2 linked regions of the Tamandua tetradactyla genome follow. Each later gene encodes a partner of the first gene's protein in a complex. Links are inferred from orthologs where the notes say so. Each region holds a gene or a part of one and is shown on either strand. Other genes may lie near its edges.

Evidence for each region. Proteins that work in one complex are often made in the same cells at the same time.
Region 2: the proteins of RAB11A (region 1) and MYO5B are in contact, whole or in part, in a crystal structure (PDB 4LX0), measured with the Homo sapiens proteins. The link is inferred for Tamandua tetradactyla from reciprocal best matches to the Homo sapiens genes RAB11A and MYO5B. Residues at the interface, in NP_004654.1 of Homo sapiens: Leu11, Lys13, Arg33, Glu35, Ile44, Gly45, Val46, Glu47, Phe48, Ala49, Thr50, Gln63, Trp65, Glu71, Arg72, Tyr73, Arg74, Ala75, Ile76, Thr77, Ala79, Tyr80, Arg82, Gly83; in NP_001073936.1 of Homo sapiens: Ile1627, Gln1628, Gly1629, Leu1630, Trp1706, Met1710, Arg1713, Tyr1714, Ser1717, Gln1718, Glu1721, Arg1724, Gln1745, Leu1747, Gln1748, Leu1749, Lys1750, Lys1751, Glu1755, Ala1759, Leu1763, Tyr1779, Glu1786.

The regions. Positions count from the first base shown.
Region 1 is NC_135340.1:82,869,026-82,878,991, reverse strand, and holds the start of RAB11A (ras-related protein Rab-11A), read right to left. Parts: upstream 5,011-9,966; 5' UTR 4,868-5,010; coding exon 4,828-4,867; intron 1-4,827. UniProt on the Homo sapiens protein: The small GTPases Rab are key regulators of intracellular membrane trafficking, from the formation of transport vesicles to their fusion with membranes.
Region 2 is NC_135344.1:32,699,337-32,709,302, reverse strand, and holds the start of MYO5B (unconventional myosin-Vb), read right to left. Parts: upstream 5,447-9,966; 5' UTR 5,345-5,446; coding exon 5,300-5,344; intron 1-5,299. UniProt on the Homo sapiens protein: May be involved in vesicular trafficking via its association with the CART complex. The CART complex is necessary for efficient transferrin receptor recycling but not for EGFR degradation.

The DNA.
Region 1 (9,966 bases):
TAGTACAAAAAGCTTGAAGTTCTACTTAGATGAATTTTGAATCACTTCTGGCTCCACGCTCACATTAAGAATGAGTAAAAAAATCAACTTAAGGTGAGAAGAGGGAAGAAGAGAAAAGCCAAAAAGTTACAATATTTCTAATTCATAGGAACTCTGATATAAATCCGTAATTCAGGAATTTCACTTAGTTTAAAGCCAAAGTGCATGAGCAAGATGTTCAAAATAACATCTTTGGGCGGGGGGGGGGGGGGGGGGAATCTCAAAGAACATCCTTAACTGTTCCATGAAAACTCTAGCAGTTTCAAGTTCTTTCCTTTTGACCTCCACTTTAACTAATGATTATGCTCATTATCTTCTTATCCTCAAATCTTTTTGCCATCATAAAGATAATTATGATGGAATCCACCCCCATGTAACCAATTGATTCTAATATACAAACAGTACCCTTATTTGAACATAATTCAAGACTCATAATTTAGGCTACTATAGCCCATGAAATTAAAACAGCAGTGAATGCTTTATACAGTATACTTATCTCAACTATACAGACAAGATTACCAGAATTAAGAGTAGCATTTTGTTAAAGGATTATATCTTAAATGATAACAGAAGATACTGGTTCTATAAGAAGAGTGCTGCCAACAAGATGCTGAGAAATGATACAAAATAGAAAGCTGTTTCTATTCAGTTACCAAATGAGAAATCAAAAAGGAAGGTTACATTTAGGCTTACTGAAATAAAAGTAATTTTTAAAAAACTAGAATGAATTATATTACTTAAACAACATAAAATAATTTACTGGCTATAATTTAAATAAAAACCTCCATGAACCCTCCTTTCATGGACTCAAATTTAAATAATGCCTAGTCAGAATAGATTCTGTCATTGAGATGGCAATATTTAATTGCTTCTTAAAAATGTAAGAAATAGAAGATCAAATCCTGTAGTTCAAAAGGGAATTTGCAGTGACTTTCCTATGTTTTCCATAATTAATATCTTAGGTTAAAAGTACTTCCACTTTAGACATTTTATAACTATAAGCATTTATAAAATATTAATATACTAAATGATATAAACAAATTTAAAAATAGCATCTATATGTTAAACATTCATAGCATCTCTAAAATAATCCAATAGGATATATCACTACCTGGTTAACTTATCTGACAAATTTTAAATATCATCCCTAATACCTAATACTAACTTTTGTCCATAATATATATCAAACATCAGGTGGCTAAAAGCCATAAAAGCACAAAATATAATAATTATCCATTATTTAACAACGATTTCCCCTTCTCAACCACATTTAGTTTTATACTGCCTTATTAATCTACTGGATTCAAATTTCATTCAGTACATCAGTTGCAGTATATCAGTTCTAAAAGTTACCTACCACCTGAAGGAATGGCTAACAATTTTTAAAATAGTTTTCATAAATGAACTTGGAGATGTTTCTACACTTTCAACCGTCTTCACAGTCCAACCTTACCAAAAGACTTTTAAAATAAAATGCATTCAATAAGGCTGAAGTTTAGACAAGTTTTTCCAGATTCAGCAGACTCTAAGTTGCCCAACCAAAAGTTGTGAAAGAAAAACTACCAAGATGCAAGACAGCAAAGTTCCAATGATCCTTTCTACAATCAGCAAATGGTTAATTACAACTGAAAACGCTGGAAACAACAGACTATATATGCACATATTTTCAGATATGTGACTTCGGTTGGATTGGTGTATATCCACTGTGACATTTATAAACAGGAACTATGATTGATGCTTACTTCACTTATGTGCCCCCACCAGGCCTTAACCACATTTGCATGTAAACACCTGTAGAATTAAAATTTGTAAAAGAAAAAGACAAGTTTTTAAAAATAAAACTAATTTCCCCCTCACAAAACACCTCACTGTTGAGCTTAATTAAAAATCAATGTTCAAGAACAGATACATAATTTAGAAAAATTGTTCTGCTCTCCCCACGTAACATTCCCATTTGGACCACTCCATCCTATCTTAATTAAAATCTCCTGATTTTCAACTGGTTAGAGTTACAAACTATCTTCCAATTCCCTCACTATTTCAAGTTTACTAAATAAGTTTTCTTCCAAGTAGAGATAGCCGCAGCTCTTCTGAATGAATGAATCTCTGTAGAATGAAAACATTCTAAAATGAAATTATTCTTGTTTTACTTTAAAATAGGGTAACTGCGTAAATAAGAATACGGCTAAATAATCAGCAATGAAGTAAATAAGATGATTCATATCCCATAAGAGCCTTTAAAAAGTGGAAATCCATCTCAGTAGAATTTTTTTAACTCCCTAAAAATATATAACAAAATGAAACCTGAACCCGTGGAAAAGTAAAATACTTAAGAAGTTCCTAATTTTAAGTTTCTTTATTAATATTTAAATGCTCTTGTATCTATAACAATTTAACGTTAAAAAACTGACAAGAACTACAGTAACTTCTTTCACATGATTATCACTTATTGAGTCTTCATAGAAGCTAAAATTTTAACAAGAGCCTCATTTAATCCTTACAGTAGACCCAAGACGTAAGTATTGTTTCCTTTTTATAGATGAGGGAATTGAGGCTCAAAAAAACGTTAACTTTCCCAAGGTCACAGAGCAAATAAAAGACCTGAGTCAGCATTTAAATCCAAGTCTGCCTGATTCTAAACCCCTATGCTCTCAAGATAGGTGGTCTAATTCCAAAGGTATATCAAAAGTTATATATATATATGTTTAAATTTATATCAAAAGTTTAAAGCCCTTAAGACAATTCAGGATAATATTCTTAATGAAAATATAAAAAGACTTTAATAACAAATGTTCAAACTCCAAACCAAACAGGAGAAGTACCCGGTCAGTTTCTCTCATTAATTATAAATTTAATTAATTTAATTAATTAAGCTGCCCACTGCCATTATACTTTATTTGAAAAGCAAACCTCCTTTTAGTGACGAAACCTAAAAGTTTCCAGGGACTGTCTTAAGTAATTTCACATAATCTCAGATGCCTTCAACAAACAGTATATAAACTAATACAGGTTTTCTTTTTATATTTCTAAAAGGCATTAAGTATCCTCTTCTCTGTAAATGCCTTGCCAGTATGGGAATGGGGGTAGATTTTGAAGGTGTGCGCCCTATATAAATACACCAGCTCAGAGGAGCAAGTGATGACAAGGGTATATCAGCAGCTAGTAATAGTAAGATTTGCAAAGTACTGGTAAAGAAACCTTTCCTGCTTTGTTTAGTCAATCATTCTTAGCGCCCAATGGCAAAGTCACAAACAGTCATAAAGCCTAACACTCTTTTTTAACTCCACCCTCCACTGTAAAGCTTTAATAGCTCTGGCTTCTTCCTCCCTGGTAATGATCTTTGTTCAGCACATTACTGATGGCTGCCCTCCTAGTTCAGGAGCAGAAAAAGAGCAGCAGCAGAGAGAGATTCATTGAACAACAACCAAAAGAAAAACACAGGGGGAGGCAATTACTATACCCTCTTCTAACTGCAAACTCTACCCTTTATCTCTGTTGATTAAGGAAAAAAAAAAAACTGTTGGGATTCTTTCTGGACTAACCAATAAACAATTCTATTGAACCCCCACTCTCCAATATATTTTGTCCAAAGGCACTGACATATGTCCCTGTTTTATAATAGTTAATATGTGCAAAAGAGCACACACCCATTCCCCCCCACCACCACCTTTTGGGAAAGGTATGGGGCCAACTCCGACTCTTCCCTTCCTGTTCTAAAACACCAGAAGACTGGATCCTCCCAGTGTTGCAGCAGGAAGCAACCAGACCACTGCGATAAAGCAAGCCAGTGTTTGTGCAGCGCACAACCTTTCCTGCTCAGGAACTGGGCCTTCAGGTCTGGCAAGGATAACAGCCACCACCCATCCGCAACCCCTTCTCACTAGCAGAGTTAAGAGTTATCCCAGGCTAGATGCCGCTGGGAAGGGACGGCAAGAAAAAAAAAAAAAAAAACCGGCAAGGTGGGAAGTCACATCAGCCTGCCGGGTCACTGCGACAAGTTCGCGCGTGGGTGATGGACATTCTTTCTTGTCTCCCCAACCCCCACCCCGGGGTCGCACTGGAGCCGCGGGACCTATCAACATTTGCGAGGGAAGGTAGAAAAAGAGCTGCCAACCCTCGGGGGCGATCGGGGAAGGTTACTGACCGCGAGAACAGCGGAACAAGTGGGGGTGGGGGCCACTGGCTCACTCAGATGTTATCAGGACCTGGACCCCGAGCCTGGAGCAGTCGGCTAGGAGGGGAGTCCGTTCCAGAGGAGGGGCTGCGAGGAAACAGAGAGGAGAGGCTCTCTCGGGAGAAAAGGGTACCAGATGAGAGAACGACCCGTAGTAGGAGTCTCTGGGCCTAAGGAAAGGCGAAAAGGGAAGAGGGAGGGCCTGTCAGAGGGACTCATTAGAGAGGATGTGAAGAGGGCGAGGGGGGCGCTAAGTCAGAAAAGATAGATGGAGAGGGGGGCGGCGGGGCCTTGGAAGGAGCTATAAACCCGGGAAAAGGAATGAAGACGACGAATTGGGAGAATGCAGTCCGCCGTGAGAAGGACACACAATGAGGGGCTCTGAGGCTAGCGAGGGCCTACGAGAAGGTCGCTATGAAATGGGGTGTGGTGGCGACCCCCAGTCTGAGGAGAGAAGAGACTGAGCTGGAAGATGGCAGGAAGCACTGCTCAGAAGGGAAGGGCTGAGGCAGGCCCCATTTCGGTGCCGGGATGGCCCGCGCGCGGATCCCCGGGGAGTGTCCCGGGCCCCCAAACGGGGACACACTGTAGGGTGCCAAAGCCCAGAGGCTCACCTTTGAAGAGGTAGTCGTACTCGTCGTCGCGGGTGCCCATTGCGCGGCCGAGTCTGAAGGGGCGGGAGCAGGAGCGGTATCGGTAGGACCAGGGGGCGTCGCTGCAGGGGTAACCCGAGCTCCGAGCTTCAGACGCCGGACCCGGTGAAGTGCCCCTCCCTGCCGTGCGCCACTTCCGGCAGCCCCAGCCCCTCAGGGGAAGTACTTCCGGGGAGTTGGCGCCCCACCTCCGAGTCCCGCAGGGCTGCAAGCATTTGCATCGGGTTGTTCGTTGAAGTCACAGCGTCCTCAAGGAGGCTGATATGGGAAGATGAGTCCTAGATTCCCAACTGACCATGCTCTTAGTAACTTCTCGTTTATTCTTGCCCCAACTCGCGCTGCCAAGCAGGACTCCAAGCTCTGAGAACGCATCAGACAAGCTTCAACGTAGTGGTGGGGCGGGGTTTACTAACCTTCAGAAATCTGAAAGCGCAACAAGGCGTCTGGCGGTTCCATGGTGTAATGGTTAGCACTCTGGACTCTGAATCCAGCGATCCGAGTTCAAATCTCGGTGGAACCTGTGGCGTCTGCTTTTTTTTTTTCCCCCCAGTTACCTTTTAAATCTAATTCACTTGGTAATGGTACAAACTACGGTATGCGTGGCATTGAACTAAGTGGCATGGGATTTCACAAAATGTAATCTTTTCCTCCAAAGACCCCACAGATCCCCCCTTCAGTTCGTACTACTAAACAACCACTTTGCATGTGGGTGTCTTCTAAGGAACATTTTAGCTTTGCCCTTTTTAATCTGGGCATCTCAGCCTCAAAACAATTCAAGAGCTTCTTCCGTGGAACTTGATTCCTTTTGATCTCCTCAAGGGTGGGTGCTTCTCACTCACTGCTCTCCAGAAATCTCTCAAACTGTCTCCAGATGTCTTTCAGAGAATTTCGCCCACCCTCCTTATGAAGATTCATCAAGAACTTCTGAGCCCTTACTATTTGTCAGTCTAAACTAGGTCCTTTTACATAATTATTTCATTTAACAAGCAGAGCAAACACAGCAATTTCCATTTTAGTGGAAATGTGGATACTAAGACTCAAGTAATTAACCAAAGATCACACAGGGCGGCCATATATTGACCGGAGTTTTTTAATTCCAAAGAGCATTTCACATTTATTGTCACCCCCTACTGACTATATGCAAACCCTCAATCTAGACTTTTGGGCAGGAGTGTGTAGTAGACAGAGTAATGGCCCTCCAAACGTGTCCCCATCCTAATCTCTGGAAAGTGTGAATATGTTTGGTTGCATGGCAAATAGGAATTAAGGCTGCAAATGTAATTAATGGTTGTGTTCAATATCCACAAACCAAAGCATAAAATGGTTAAAGTACTGCCACTACAGTAATAACATTGAATATTAATGATTAAACTCCCCAATCAAATGACACAGATTGGCAGAAGGATTTTAAAAATGTAATTCATCTATATACTGTCTGCAAGGGACTCACCTTCAATCTAAGGATACAGATAAGTTTAAAGTGAAAGGTTGGAAAAAGATACTCCGTGCAAAGAATAACCAAAAAAGAGCTGGAGTAGCCATACTAATACTGTTCAGATAGATTTTAAATGTAATACTGTTATAAGAGACAAAGAAGGACACTTTATTAATAAAGGGAGCAATCCGCCAAGAAGAAATAACAATCATAAATATTTATGCTCCTAACTAGGGTGCCCCAAAATATATGAGGCAAACACCGGCAAATGTGAAGGCAGAAATAGATGTCCTGACAATAATAGTTGGAGACTTCAATACATCTAGAGAGAGGATCAATAAGGAAACAGAGAACTTGAATAATATGATGAATGAACTAGACCTAACAGACATTTACAGAACATTACATCCCCAAAACAGCAGGATATACATTCTTCTCAAGTGATCATGGATCATTCTCCAGTATAGATCCCATGTTGGTTCAAAAACAAGTCTCAACAAATTTTAAAAGATTGAAGTTATACAAAACACTTTCTCTAGCCAAAATAAAAAGAAAAGCTGGAAATCCCTAACAGGTGGAGAGCTGGAAATTCACAAATAATGGAGGTTAAACAATGCTCTCCTAAATGATCAGAGGGTCAAAGAAGAAATTTCAGGAGAAATCAGTAAATATCTCGCAATGTATGAAAACCAGAACACAACATATCAAAGTTTATAGGATGCAGCAAACACAGTGCTCAGAGCAAAATTTAGATCCTATATTTAAAAAGAAGAAACTGATAAAATCAAAGACCTACAGCATCAGGGGATTGAGAAAACCTTCTCCACCAAAAGGGGGAGGAGTGAAATGAGACAAAGTGTCAATGGCTGAGAGATTCCAAACAGAGTCGAGAAGTTATCCTGGAGGTTATTCTTATGCATTAAGTAGATATCACCTTGTTAGTCAAGATGTAATGGAGAGGCTGGAGGGAACTGCCTGAAAATGTAGAGCTGTGTTCCAGTAGCCATGTTTCTTGAAGATGATTGTATAATGATATAGCTTTCACAATGTGACTGTGTGATTGTGAAAACCTTGTGTCTGATGCTCCTTTTATCTATCTCATCAACAGACAAGTAAAACATATGGAATAAAGATGAATAATAGGGGGAGCAAATGTTAAAATAAATTTATAGTGAAATGCTGGTGATTGATGAAGGGGAGGGGTGGGGGCATAGTATGTATTAATTTCTTTCTGTTTTCTTTTTATTTCTTTTTCTGAATAGATGCAAATGTTCCAAGAGATAATCATGATGATGAATGTGCAGCTATGTGATGATATTGTGAATTGCTAATTGTATATGTAGAACAGAATGATCAGGAGTTACAAACGTTTCCATTTGTTTGGTGTTTTTTGGTATTTAAAAAAATTAAAAAAGCAAAAAAAAAAAAATCAAAGACCTAACTGCTTAGCTGGAGGAACTAGAAAAAGAACAGAAAACTAATCCCAAAGCAAGCAGAAGGAAAGAAATAACAAAGATTAGAGCAGAAATCAATAAAATTGAAAAAAAAATAGAATTAACAAAACCAAAACTCGGTTCTTTGTGAAGATCAATAAAATTTAAAAACCGTTAGCTAGACTGACAAGAAAAAGAGAAGATGCAAATAAAATCAGAAATGAGATGGGGACATTACTACTGACCCCACAGTAATAAAAAGGATCACAAGAGGATACTGTGAACAACTGTATGCTAACAAATTAGACAACCTAGATGAAATGGACAAATTCCTAAAAACACATGAATGACTACACTGACACTAGAAAAAATAGAAGACCTCAACAAGAGATTGAGTCAGTCATCAAAAAACTCTCAACAAAGAAAAGCCCAGAATCAGATCGGTTTACAGGTGAATTCTACCAATCATTCAAAGAAGAATTAATACTAACCATGCTCAGACTCGCAAAAAAAAAAAAAAAATTGAAGAGGAGAGCACACTCTCTAACTCATTCTATGAAGCCAACTTCACCCTAATACTAAAGCCAGATAAAATCCTACAAGGAAAGAAAATTATATTCCAGTTTCGGTAATGAATATGGATGCAAAAATCCTCAAGAAAATACCTGGAAATCAAATCCAACAACACATTAAGATAATTATACATCATGATCAAGTAGGTTTTAGCCAAGATAAGCTAGGCTGGTGCATCACAAAAAAATCAATTAGCAAATTGAAGGAGGAAACCCACAGGACCATCACAATTAATGCAAAAAGAGCATTTGACAAAATCCAGTATCCTTCCTTGATAAAACACTTCAAAAGATAGGATGAGAAGGAAACTTCCTCACCATTATAAAGGACATATATGAAAAACCCACAGCTAACATCATACCCACTGGTAAAAAAAACTAAAAACATTTCCTCTAAGATCAGGAACAAGACAACGATGCCCACTGTCACCACTGTTTTTTCAACACTGTACTAGAAGTTATAGCTAGAGCAATTAGGCAAGAAAAAGAGTAAAACATTCTTTTTTATTTCTTCCATTCAACATAATGTCTTCACAGTTACTTCACAGAGTAAAACATTCACTGTTGCAGGTGACATGATCCTATATAGAGAAAGTTCTGAAAAATCTACAACAATGCTACTAGCGTTAATAAACAAGTTCAGCAAAGTGGGGGGATACAAGGTTAACGTGCAAAAATAAGTAGGGTTGCTATATACTAGTAATGAGCAATCTGAGGAGGAAATCAAGGAAAAAATCCATTTACAAAGGAATTAAAAGAATAAAATATCTAGAAATAAATTTAACCAAGAAGGTAAAGGGCTTGCACACAGAAAAAGTACAACACATCACTAAAAGAAAGAAAAGATCTAAGTAAATGGAGGGACATTCTGTGTTCATGGATTGGGAGACTAAATATCGTGAAGACACCAGTTCTACCCGAATTGATTTGCAGATTCAATGAAATCCCAATCAAAATTCCACTGTCTATTTTGCAGAAATGGGAAAATAAATAATCAAATTTATTTGGAAGTGTAGGGGACCCTCAACAACCAAAAACACCTTTTAAAAGAATGACGTTGGAGGACTCGCAGATACTACAAAGCTACAGTAGTCTAAACAGCATGGTACTGGCATAAAGATAGTTATATTTGGAACTATCCAAATAAATTGAAAATTCAGGAAATGAGAGTTCAGAAATAGATCCTCACTTCCATGGCCAATTGATATTTGACAAGGCTACCAAGTCCACTCAACTGGTACAAAACAGTTTCTTCAACAAATTGTGCTGGGAGAACTGGATATCCATATGCAAAAGAATGAAAGAGAACCTGTATATCACACCTTATACAAAATGGGTCAAAGACCTAAACATAAAAGCCAAAGCCATGAAATTCCTAGAAGAAAATATATGGAAACATCTTTGATATCTTTCAATAGGCAATGGTTTCTTCGTGTTTACATGTAAAGCACAAGTAGTGAAAGAAAAAATAGATAAATGAGACCTCCTCAAAATTAGAAACTTTTGCACTTCAAAGGACTTTGTCAAGAAAGTGAAAAGGCAGCCTACTCAATGGAAGAACATATTTGGAAACCATGTATCCAGTAAGGGTTTAATATCCAGAATATATAAAGACATCCTACAACTTAACAACGAAAAGCTAAACAACCCAATTTTTAAA
Region 2 (9,966 bases), on another chromosome or scaffold:
ATCATAACAGGGAAAGCATTTACATATCATATTCTCCAGAACTTCATAAAAATCTAATCTAAATCTCTAATACCTGGAATGATGACTAGGAAATAATCAGTCCCATTCTCACCCCCAAAAGCTAAACAAAGAATATCTGATACAGTTATTTTTCCAAAGGATATCAACAATTCATTGCTTCCTTGAAATCATACAAAATACGAAATTGGGATAATTAAACTGATTGAAACTAAGTTATATGGTGATATAATCAGTCATAAAAAGTGCACAAAGACCATTTCACAAGAGTATGCCGACAGGAAAGGAATGCACTCACAATAAAATAGAAGCCAAGACTTCCAACATGACAGTATGAGCAGTTTCAGTTACTTACTCCCCAGGAAAACTAGTGAAAGTTACAGAAACACAATCATTTAAAGGCTCAAGAAATGGTTCTAAGAACAAATAGCAAAGGAAGAAACATCTATTCAAGAAAATCTGGGCGGGCCGCGGTGGCTCAGCGGGCAAAGTGCTTGCCTGCTATGCCGGAGGACCTCGGTTCGATTCCCGGCCCCAGCCCATGTAACAAAAACGGAGAAACAGAATACAATAAAACAAGAAAATGTTTAAAAATGTTTCCCTTTCTTCCTTCCTTCCTTCCTTCTATCCTTCCTTCCTTCTAAAAAAAAAAAAAAAAAAAAAAAAAAAAAAAAAAAAAAAATCTATGAAAATCTGTAAGAAAATCTATGGTATATGAACAAGACTGCTCCCCTTCCATGCCCCTCCTGGCTCAGTGAGGCAGAGCTCCACTCCAGAATACTGCAGCCAAGAACACAGGGTTCTCCTCTCTCAGGTCCCAGGAAGAGATGAACTTCAGTGTTTCTCATTTTGTCCCCAGCTATCTGTTGCTGAGACTAAGTCCCAGGCAAGTGCAATCAAAAGGTGGGAGCTCCCTTAAACACTCAGCCACAGCGGGGGAATGGAGGGTCTGCCTTGAGCATGGATTGTTGACAATACTCAGGCCCTGATAACCATTCCCCTGGCTCATGAAGCAAGGGTTCCACACTAAGAGACGCAAGCCAGAGGACCTCAGGCTGCTGCCCCCACCACTAAATACTCAGCAACTAGAGCAGGAGTGCCACTCAGAAAAGGCTTAGCAGGGTCCACACTTCCACCCAACTCCAGAGCTCTGGCTCAACAAATGGCTCCAAGTCTCTTCCATATGAACTGACATCATTGCAACAGAGTATGGAATAGTTTAAACCTAAGGACTCTCTCAAGAACAGTTGAGAGCAGTGATGAAAAGCAATTTGGAGGAGCAGTATGGATCTAATGAAGATATAGACTACAGGCTGGCCATAGGGAGGAGAGAATCAGGGTAAACTTGGAGAAGTCTTCCTAGGGTCAGAACAGATACCAAACGCAGACCTCAAAAACTACTCCCTTCAAAGAAAAACACTTTGATTGCATTAATAGAGGAATTTATGCCACAAGACACCATTGAAAACAATAGAGCAATGTGGTCTCCAATGAGCAGTTTAACAGTTGGGTGTCATAAAGGAAAGAGAGGAAGAAATTACTTGCAGCCTTCTCAGAGTGGCAGGGGCTTAACCCTTCTGGAGGGAGGTATGATAGACTCACTAAAATAATACAACCAGTCATGAAATTAAACAAATTACAATAAACTCCGAAGGGAGAGGGGCATCAGTAACCATAGTTGCTACAGTATATTATCCAAAATGTCAAGCTTCAAGCAAAAAATTATAAGGCATGTTAAAAACCAAACAAACAGGAAAGTATGACCTATATAGGCACGTATAATTGTCCGTGAGTATGACCAGATGTCAGAATGAAAAGAAAAAATCTTTCAGATGTAAAAATGCTCACAGAAGTAAAGAAAGCAAAGCAAAAGATGGTTTGACAACATCACATAAAATACAGAATATAAATGAAGAAATAGAAATTACAAAGAAGAACAAAATGGAAAATCTGGATTGAAAAGTAAATAACACCAATAATTCACTAGCAAAGCTCTGGGTTGTCCTCTTCCCATGAAGTCAAGGACAGCATTAACTCCTACCTGCCATTACGTAGGACAATATTCACAGAGTATTGCCATCCAGGGAAGCTCACCAGAGCCTTTGGTGCCCAGAGCTTTGGACCAAATACTGCCCAATCGATTAATCTTTAGGCTCCAGCAACTCTAAGAGGTCAGGCTGACACCTTTAGTCTCAAGTCCCTGCAGGAGGCAGAATTGATATCGTGTGGTCCAAAGGTCCTATGACAAATCACATTGTTAGGCTGCCCTGTGGCAAAAGCTTCCAGACAAAGACACCTACCAGGCATAGAGATCACCCTGCAGTAGCTGAAGGAAAAGGCCAGTCTTCTCTTCAGAGAAGGCTATTTCATCATTACATAGGTCACCCCTTCCTCTATCCCAAAAGACAGCCATTAACTTGACAATGGATATCCATTAACTTGATAGTGGAGCGATTCCCTCACATATGCATATGTTTACTTTGACCACATAAAAATACATCCATACATCTAATATTATTTGGTTGTATACTTTAGATAATGGTAGCATACCATGCATATTCTGTAACTTGATTATATTTCATGCACCACTGACATTTATCTTGTTGATACATGTAGAGTTGGTTCACTCATTTTAGTATTCTTTTGTATATGTGTGCATTTGTGTGTGTGTGTGTGTGTGTTTGTGCTGGAATTTATCCACCCCCTATTGGTACACCCTGACAAGAGTTCATTCACTCATTAATTCATTAACTATTACTCAGAATTTACTATTGCACCATGTACTGCTCCAGCACTGGTGTCAGAGAAATTAGATAATGCTTGCATTCATACCAAAAGAATTCCCTTATGGAAATGCCAAGTTTGGGGACATACCACTGACTCTGCCAACAGTCAGCTGGATGTTTGAGTCTAGACTCACAGAAGGAGGTAAGGCTTAAGAAATTAATCTTGAACTCTTTGCTTAAGGTGGAGGGTGAAGCCAGAAGAGTAGTGGAGCTAACTAATAGAACACCTATGACCAGTTAACCCACAAAACTATGAAAAATGAAAACAAATTGTTGTTTTATGTCACTAAATGTTAGGGTGGTTTGCATGCAGCCACAGATAACCAAATTAGGAGGTCACTCTACTGGTTTCCCCAAATCAGACTCGGGTAGTAGTAGGGAATCATGAAAAGAAACCACAACAAAGGCACAGCTGGCACTTCTGTGCCATCCCAGTATTTCAACTTACTCCCAGCAAGAATATGAGAACATGCTTAAACTACAACCAGGTAGGAATTTGATGTTTGCAGTGTGTTTTTAATAATTGCTGTTTGCTGCCCTACCCGCTCTAGAAGACTCTACCCTGGCCAAAAAACAAATCAGAAATTTTGTTATAAAGCAGAATGTTTAAAGAATACCGTACTTGTTTGCATGTGTCAGTCATCTATGCAAACATGCAAAATCCACCAAGCGATCATGTAAGAGGTAACAAGAGAGGCCCAGGTGTTTATAAGGCAGGGCTGAAGGACCAAGTAATGAAGCACAAGGTAATACTTGGAGGCTGCCAGCTGTGACTTATCAGACACCTTTCTCCAGAGGTAAAGCCTCCTGTGCGGAAAGTACAGTAATACTAGGTGCAGGCAAACCAAGACCAGAAAGGCTTGGGAATTTTGCCTTCTCTCCATTGGGGACAAGAAAAACTTGTACATAAACTAACAACATAAGAAGAAAGCTACCAGGCAAGGGCCACAAAAGCAGTGGAGGCTGGTGCCAGAGATACTCGGCAGCAACAGGACTCCCTTAGCTAGACAGATTAAAGAAGGCTTCATGGAAGCAGTGATATCTGAGTAGAGCTTTGAAGAATACGCAAAGTGTGAACATGCAGACACTAGGAAAAGGAGCCCTGCGTAATATACAGCAGCAGGAACTGCGGTGAGGAGAGCCTGCTATAAAGAAGATGGAATAAAAACATAGAAAGTCAGGAATACAGACAGATCACGTAAGACCCCAACACCAGGGTAAGGAGAGAGGACTTTATGATAGGGAGCTACTGAAAGTTTCCGAACAAGATAAAGGTGAGAGTTCAGGAGTGAGCCCCAGGACGCTTTGCCTGGCAGGTATCTGTGGGAATAGTTACCATACACCTCAGAAAAATAAATCCATTTATCACCACTACAGACACAGCTCATGTACAAGTGGCAACCCTGGTGAAATCACAGAGACAAAATATTTTTCAGATAACTTCAAAAATCGTTAGGACAAGAATTGTGTTCTGTTTAATCCCAGGTTAGCTCATTAAGAATAAAACTGCTAGAGCAATAAATTTTTTAAAAATCTACATTTTGACATATCCTTTCTGCACAACTCAATCTCACCGTCTTTCAAGGACTAGCTTGAACTGTACTTCAGATATAAATAATTTTCTTTAGCTGTCTGAATTATAGATTTGAGAGCACACTGCCATTAAAACTTCTGCATTCATAAATGTATAATTTATATTTCCCCTTCTAAAATGATTTGTAGTACAGAAATACTTTTCATATTGTCTTGTTCACCCTGTTTTGCTTATTCTATCTTATCTACCCATTTATATTATAAACTTCTTTTTGAACAGGGCTTGTATATTCCTCATTCATTCTTCCAAAATCCTCCACGCAGTAGGAGGCATACATCAGTGTCCAACAGATTCTTCTTAACTGATTTCCATTGCTCCCTGTCCTGGTAGTAACATTTGAGGGGAAAGTCTCCCTAATACGTCCATTATTCGTGGCCAGTTCCTCTGGCAAAGTAATCTTCTGGAAGTCATGAGTTTCTTTTTTAATATCCTTTAAAAAAAATTTTATGTGTATCTTAGGCCCCAGTCATAGGAACCATTCTTCATGGAGGGAGATGCATAAAACTAATCCAAGTCTGCCCTCGGAGGGAAACTAGCAGGGGCACAAGCTGAGGACAGACTCTGGGGTCTGACCATGATAGTGGGAAGGTCACCCACCCACAGGGATGCCAGGAAAGACAGCTAGAGGGTATTAACTAATATCCCTTATCAAGTTTTCCCCACATCCATCTGAGATTCAAACACCAACAAGCACATGCTGTTACCCTCGGCATTCACACCCAATTGTGAAATCACCACCATTCCACCAGACGTGAGTTTTCTGAGGCTGCTTTCTGACTCCTTTTGTTATAGTTCTTGAGGTTTTGTTTTTTTTAAAACTAAGGATTCAAAATTGCTACTTCAAAAATCAAAGCCCAGTGGCACCCTAGTACCTTTCATACTGCAGCCTTCCACAACTGACCTGCTGGGTAGTACGGAGCAGCACATAACTGCCTCCTGGATCCATCCCAAAGAAGCCTCATTGTAGCGCCAAGTCCCCTCTAATATGGCCCCACATCCTCCTCAAATTAAAATAAGGGTTCCCTTTACCAATATTTTTAAAAAAATGTGTTCTAAGTTCTAAGTCTGGAACACAGAATTCACTTTTTCTATAGAAAAACATCCTAGAAGTGGTAGGTTCCCAGGGCAACCCAAACAGCCTACCTACTTAGGATTAGTATAAATGTTTCTATGAGGAAGTGACTTTCAAATCAGATAGGAGGTGTGCGCCTGTGTATTCCTGTGCCACCAGCAAAAGGGAATTACCCCTGCAGTTATTGGGGACCCCAACTAAAGACAGGGAAGGGCGACAGCCCCACCCTTGCATCTGGACCCACTGCAGCCACCTGCCACCTGTTCAAAAGAAGCTGTAACAAAGGCCTCAACCACCAATGCACTGAAGGTTTGCACAGGAAGCACTAAATATCTAGTGATCCAGTTAACAACTTTGATTTATCAATGAGTATTTAGTAATACAAATGTTATATATTCCCCTCCTCAACCCAGAGTGATATAAGCTCTCTCCTCTCAAGGTATTTACAACTTTATCTGAGAAGTCTCTTAGGGCATTAACAAATTTTACCCATCTTAGGATGCTATTTGAGGACAGCCCTTTGTGGCCATTTACAGATAGATGAAGTAGGTATGGACAGAAATTAAGGGATGTACCTAAAATTAAAAGCTACTGAGAGCCCTCAAACAAACCCAAATCTGGCTCCTATCCTGCCTATTCTCCATGGTTCCAGGCTGCTTCTCTTCTCTGATCCTGCAGGAGGCTTTGGGCAGCCATTTGTTTATCAAATGAGCCACAAGTCCTAAAGCTACCTGATTTAACACCACACCCTTTTATAGGTAGCTCAGCACCTCTAGACTTCTGTTCAGTATTTGCTTGCAGCTTCTGCAGATTTAAACTCCGATCTGCATATAGGCTTATACTAGAAGTTTTCCAAAACTTCAAAAAATAACACACTAAAAGGTTAAGGAAAAAAAAAAAGCGGGGGGGGGGGGATGGGGCTAGGAAACAAAAGGGCCTGGCCAAAGAGATGAGAATGCACTGAGGCCATCCTCAAGTCTATGAGAAATAGGGGACCAATGTGATTACCTACACAGGGAGCAATCAAGAGCTGTCACTGGAATTATAGCCAGACTCTCTGCCAGTAGACTTGGGATATTTCAGGGCTGTTACTTCATGAGATTCTAGCATCCGTTATGCTTCTAAGGGTTTCTAATTTCAGCTGCAAAAGACAAGAGTCCAGGAAATGAGGCAGACATATCTAAAAGCCTGCAGAAACAAAGAGAAGCATCCACAGGAATAACTGCCTGCCTTGAAGGGATTTCAAATAAGAGGCTCAAAGATAGAAGATTAGAAGAGGAAAATGATAGGCAAGAAAACCAAAGTAGCAAACATAGCCCTAAGCTGAAATTCAGAAGAATCATGGAACCAAGGAACCGTGATGAGAGAAGCATTAAAAAGAGACGACTGGCTCTTGTATTTGAAATGAGATGAGACCAAAAAGGTTAAGTGGCAAATTCAAGATCACACCGCTTAGTGGGGAAGAGGGATTAGCGTCTACTAACACACCTCAGGTGCTCAACACACCTCAGTTGAAGCAGAACGTGTTTGAAGACCGTAACTTGGGCTAAGAGTCATTTTATAGAGAAAAAGCACCTAGTCTGTTCAAAGAGCTTAAAAGGGTTATGAAGAGGCTGGTCAGCTGCTTGGCTTTCCAACCGAATGATACTCAGTTTCCTATAAAAGCCACAACCATGAATGAATGCAGTGACATACTGGAGTTCAAAATGGAATTACGGGGTGGGGAAGGGAAGAATTAGAGTGTAATAGGGAAGAACAGAACACATTAGCTACATACTTTAATACTGGCTGATTTACTGAATCACTAAATAAGTGTCAAGACTGTTGGGTTCCAAAAATACTTCATTTGCAAGAATTTGAATGTCTCAACACTTCATAAAGGAAAAAGACTGATGGATTTGACAACATTCATTTTTCAGAAAAGTTTTCCATAAATAAATGACTGAGGAGAAACATTCACAAACCTACAGAAGACAAGTTTAATATCTATTATTCACAAAGCACCTATAAATCAGTAAGTCCAAACTTTGTAGTCTGTTATTCAAGGCCCTCTGGGGTCTGACCTGCTACCAGCTACTTCCTCTCTCTCTCTTTCATTCTGAAGTTTATGATGTGCCTGCTTGTACCAGTGTCAGCCTAAGTAAGCACAAGTCCTGTGACTCTAACCTGGTTCACAGCGTTCAGCTTTTAAACAAAAAAATTCCCCAGCACCTGCCTTGCAATCCTGCTGCCAACTCTCGTCCTAGTCTTTAACTTCCTGCTAGACCCCTGTGACCAGTATTGCTGGAGCCACAATATATTCCTATCTCTGGGTTATAGTTGCTCCCAGCTCCTCTGGTAGACTCCAGCTAAGCCAGCATCAACCCTCTAGACTCACCTGGCAAAGGCCCACAGTGCCAGTGTTTCTGCTGGGCTTGTCCAGGAGAACTGTCACTGCAGGGAACATTAAGCCAGTGAAATGTTATTTCCTGAACAAGCCCCTAGATTTTCAAAATATTGTTGCTTATACTGCTGCCTCTCCCTGGAAGGGTATTATTAGTCTCTCCCATCAATCCCTCTTTTTTTTTTTTTTTTTTTTACATGGGCAGGTACCAGGAATTGAACCCAGGTCCTTGGGCATGGCAGGCAAGCACTCTTACCTGCTGAGTCACCGTGGCCCGCCTGAATCCTCTTGAAATCCTACTCACTTGTTATGGTTTAAGCCTTCCCTAACCTTCCTTCCATACTCATTCCCCATATATGTTACTTCCCCTCCCTCTCCTGCAGACTTTCTTGTTTCTCATGACATGCCAGCGTAACCTGGCTCATCCCTGTGCCACTTACACATTTATCTCAAGCAAAATGTAGGCTCCATGAGAGCAGACACTGAGAATTAATCATTCTTTTGATTCCCAGCCCTGGTACACTACTTGGCCCATAGAAATCTTCAACAGAGTTATTTAATTGTACAAATGGAACTTCTCTGGTTCAAGTGTGACTTATAAAATGGTTTTCAAAACAGTAAGAGATGTTTCAAAACTTCTTGAGCAACGACTGTATTGTTAGAATCATCCTAAAATGATTTAATTGAACAGTAACACTTATTTAGACATGAAAGTTCTGGTATGCTTATTAAAAGTCATTCATCAGTTCATAGTAGAATATAGAACTTATTTCCGAGGCAATAAGCCTGATGAATTTATTTCGACATACAACAGGCCAAAAGTTTTAGGTCCTGAATGAGAATGGCGGGATTTAGACAAAGGAAGAGCCCAAAGGCTTGGAAACAGACATGAACTTATACAGACAAAGGTATTTTAAGGTAGACAATGAATGTCTGTAAGCTCTTCCACATTATCATGGTGACCCAACCAACTGCTCCCACAAAAGGCCATCTACTCTTGGAGCAGAGGCATGTAGCTCAGGCACAACCTAAGTCAACTGAAGAAGCAGCTTCTGAGAAGAAACCTCCAGTGTAGAAGAGTTCAGAGGATGGAGACAACTCCCACAAATAAAGAAAAAAACTCCCATGGATGCCAAGGCCATATCTGCTCCCTCTGCACCCAGCAAACTGTCACAACTTTAAACCTGTATACTCTCCCAAAGAAATATGATGAACAGGTAACAGTGACGTATACCAACAATTCAGGTACAACTATAAGAGTAGACTGGCCCTCAGCAACTGCTGCCAGACTTCAAGCCCATATATCATTTTGTTTCCATTTAATCCATTTTCTTTGATCACAGACCCAATCCACATCCCAGCACATCTCAATCCGGAGCTCCTCAATTAAGTCTAAAGATTGATTCATTTTTTCCAACCTAAGATATCTATGTTCTTATTTTCGTACTTACTATCAGAATAAAAACACTAGAAATACAAAAACAAAATTATCCACAACCAAAGATGAGTGCCAAGGAAGAATGGTAAATGGGTTTGGGTGGGTAAAGTAGTTCAGATAATGGAGGCCTCTCAGGACAGGAAGCTGTCTGAAGTCCCAAAGCAGGTAAGCTGTGTCTGAAGACTGTGTTTCAGAACAGTTAGTCCAGCAACACTGACACACACAGTAGAGGCTTAGGAGGACATGAGAGAACAAAAGCATAAGATGACTATGGCTTCTTCCTCTCCCAAAGGCCTGGATTAGATCCAGAATCACCGACCTTACCTCCTACGCAGGTGAAATGTAGTTTGTTCTTGGGATTTCACCTCCGAGGGTTCACTAGAGAACACAAAGTCCTTAGCTTTAAACCAGAGGTACTCAACCAGGGTCCCCACCTCTGAGACATTCAGTCATTTCTGAAGACACTTTCAGTTATCACAATTGAGGTACGGGATGTGGAGGCCAGGGATGACATCAAACATCCTGCAAAGCACAGGTTAGCCTCCTTCCCCACAAAAAAGAATTACCTGACCCCAAATATCAAGATTGACAAGACTGAGAAAACTGCTCTGAGCCCATCATTCAGGAAAAGGCAGATCTATCTTGGACCCTTTTCAAGAACAACGACAAGTGCCA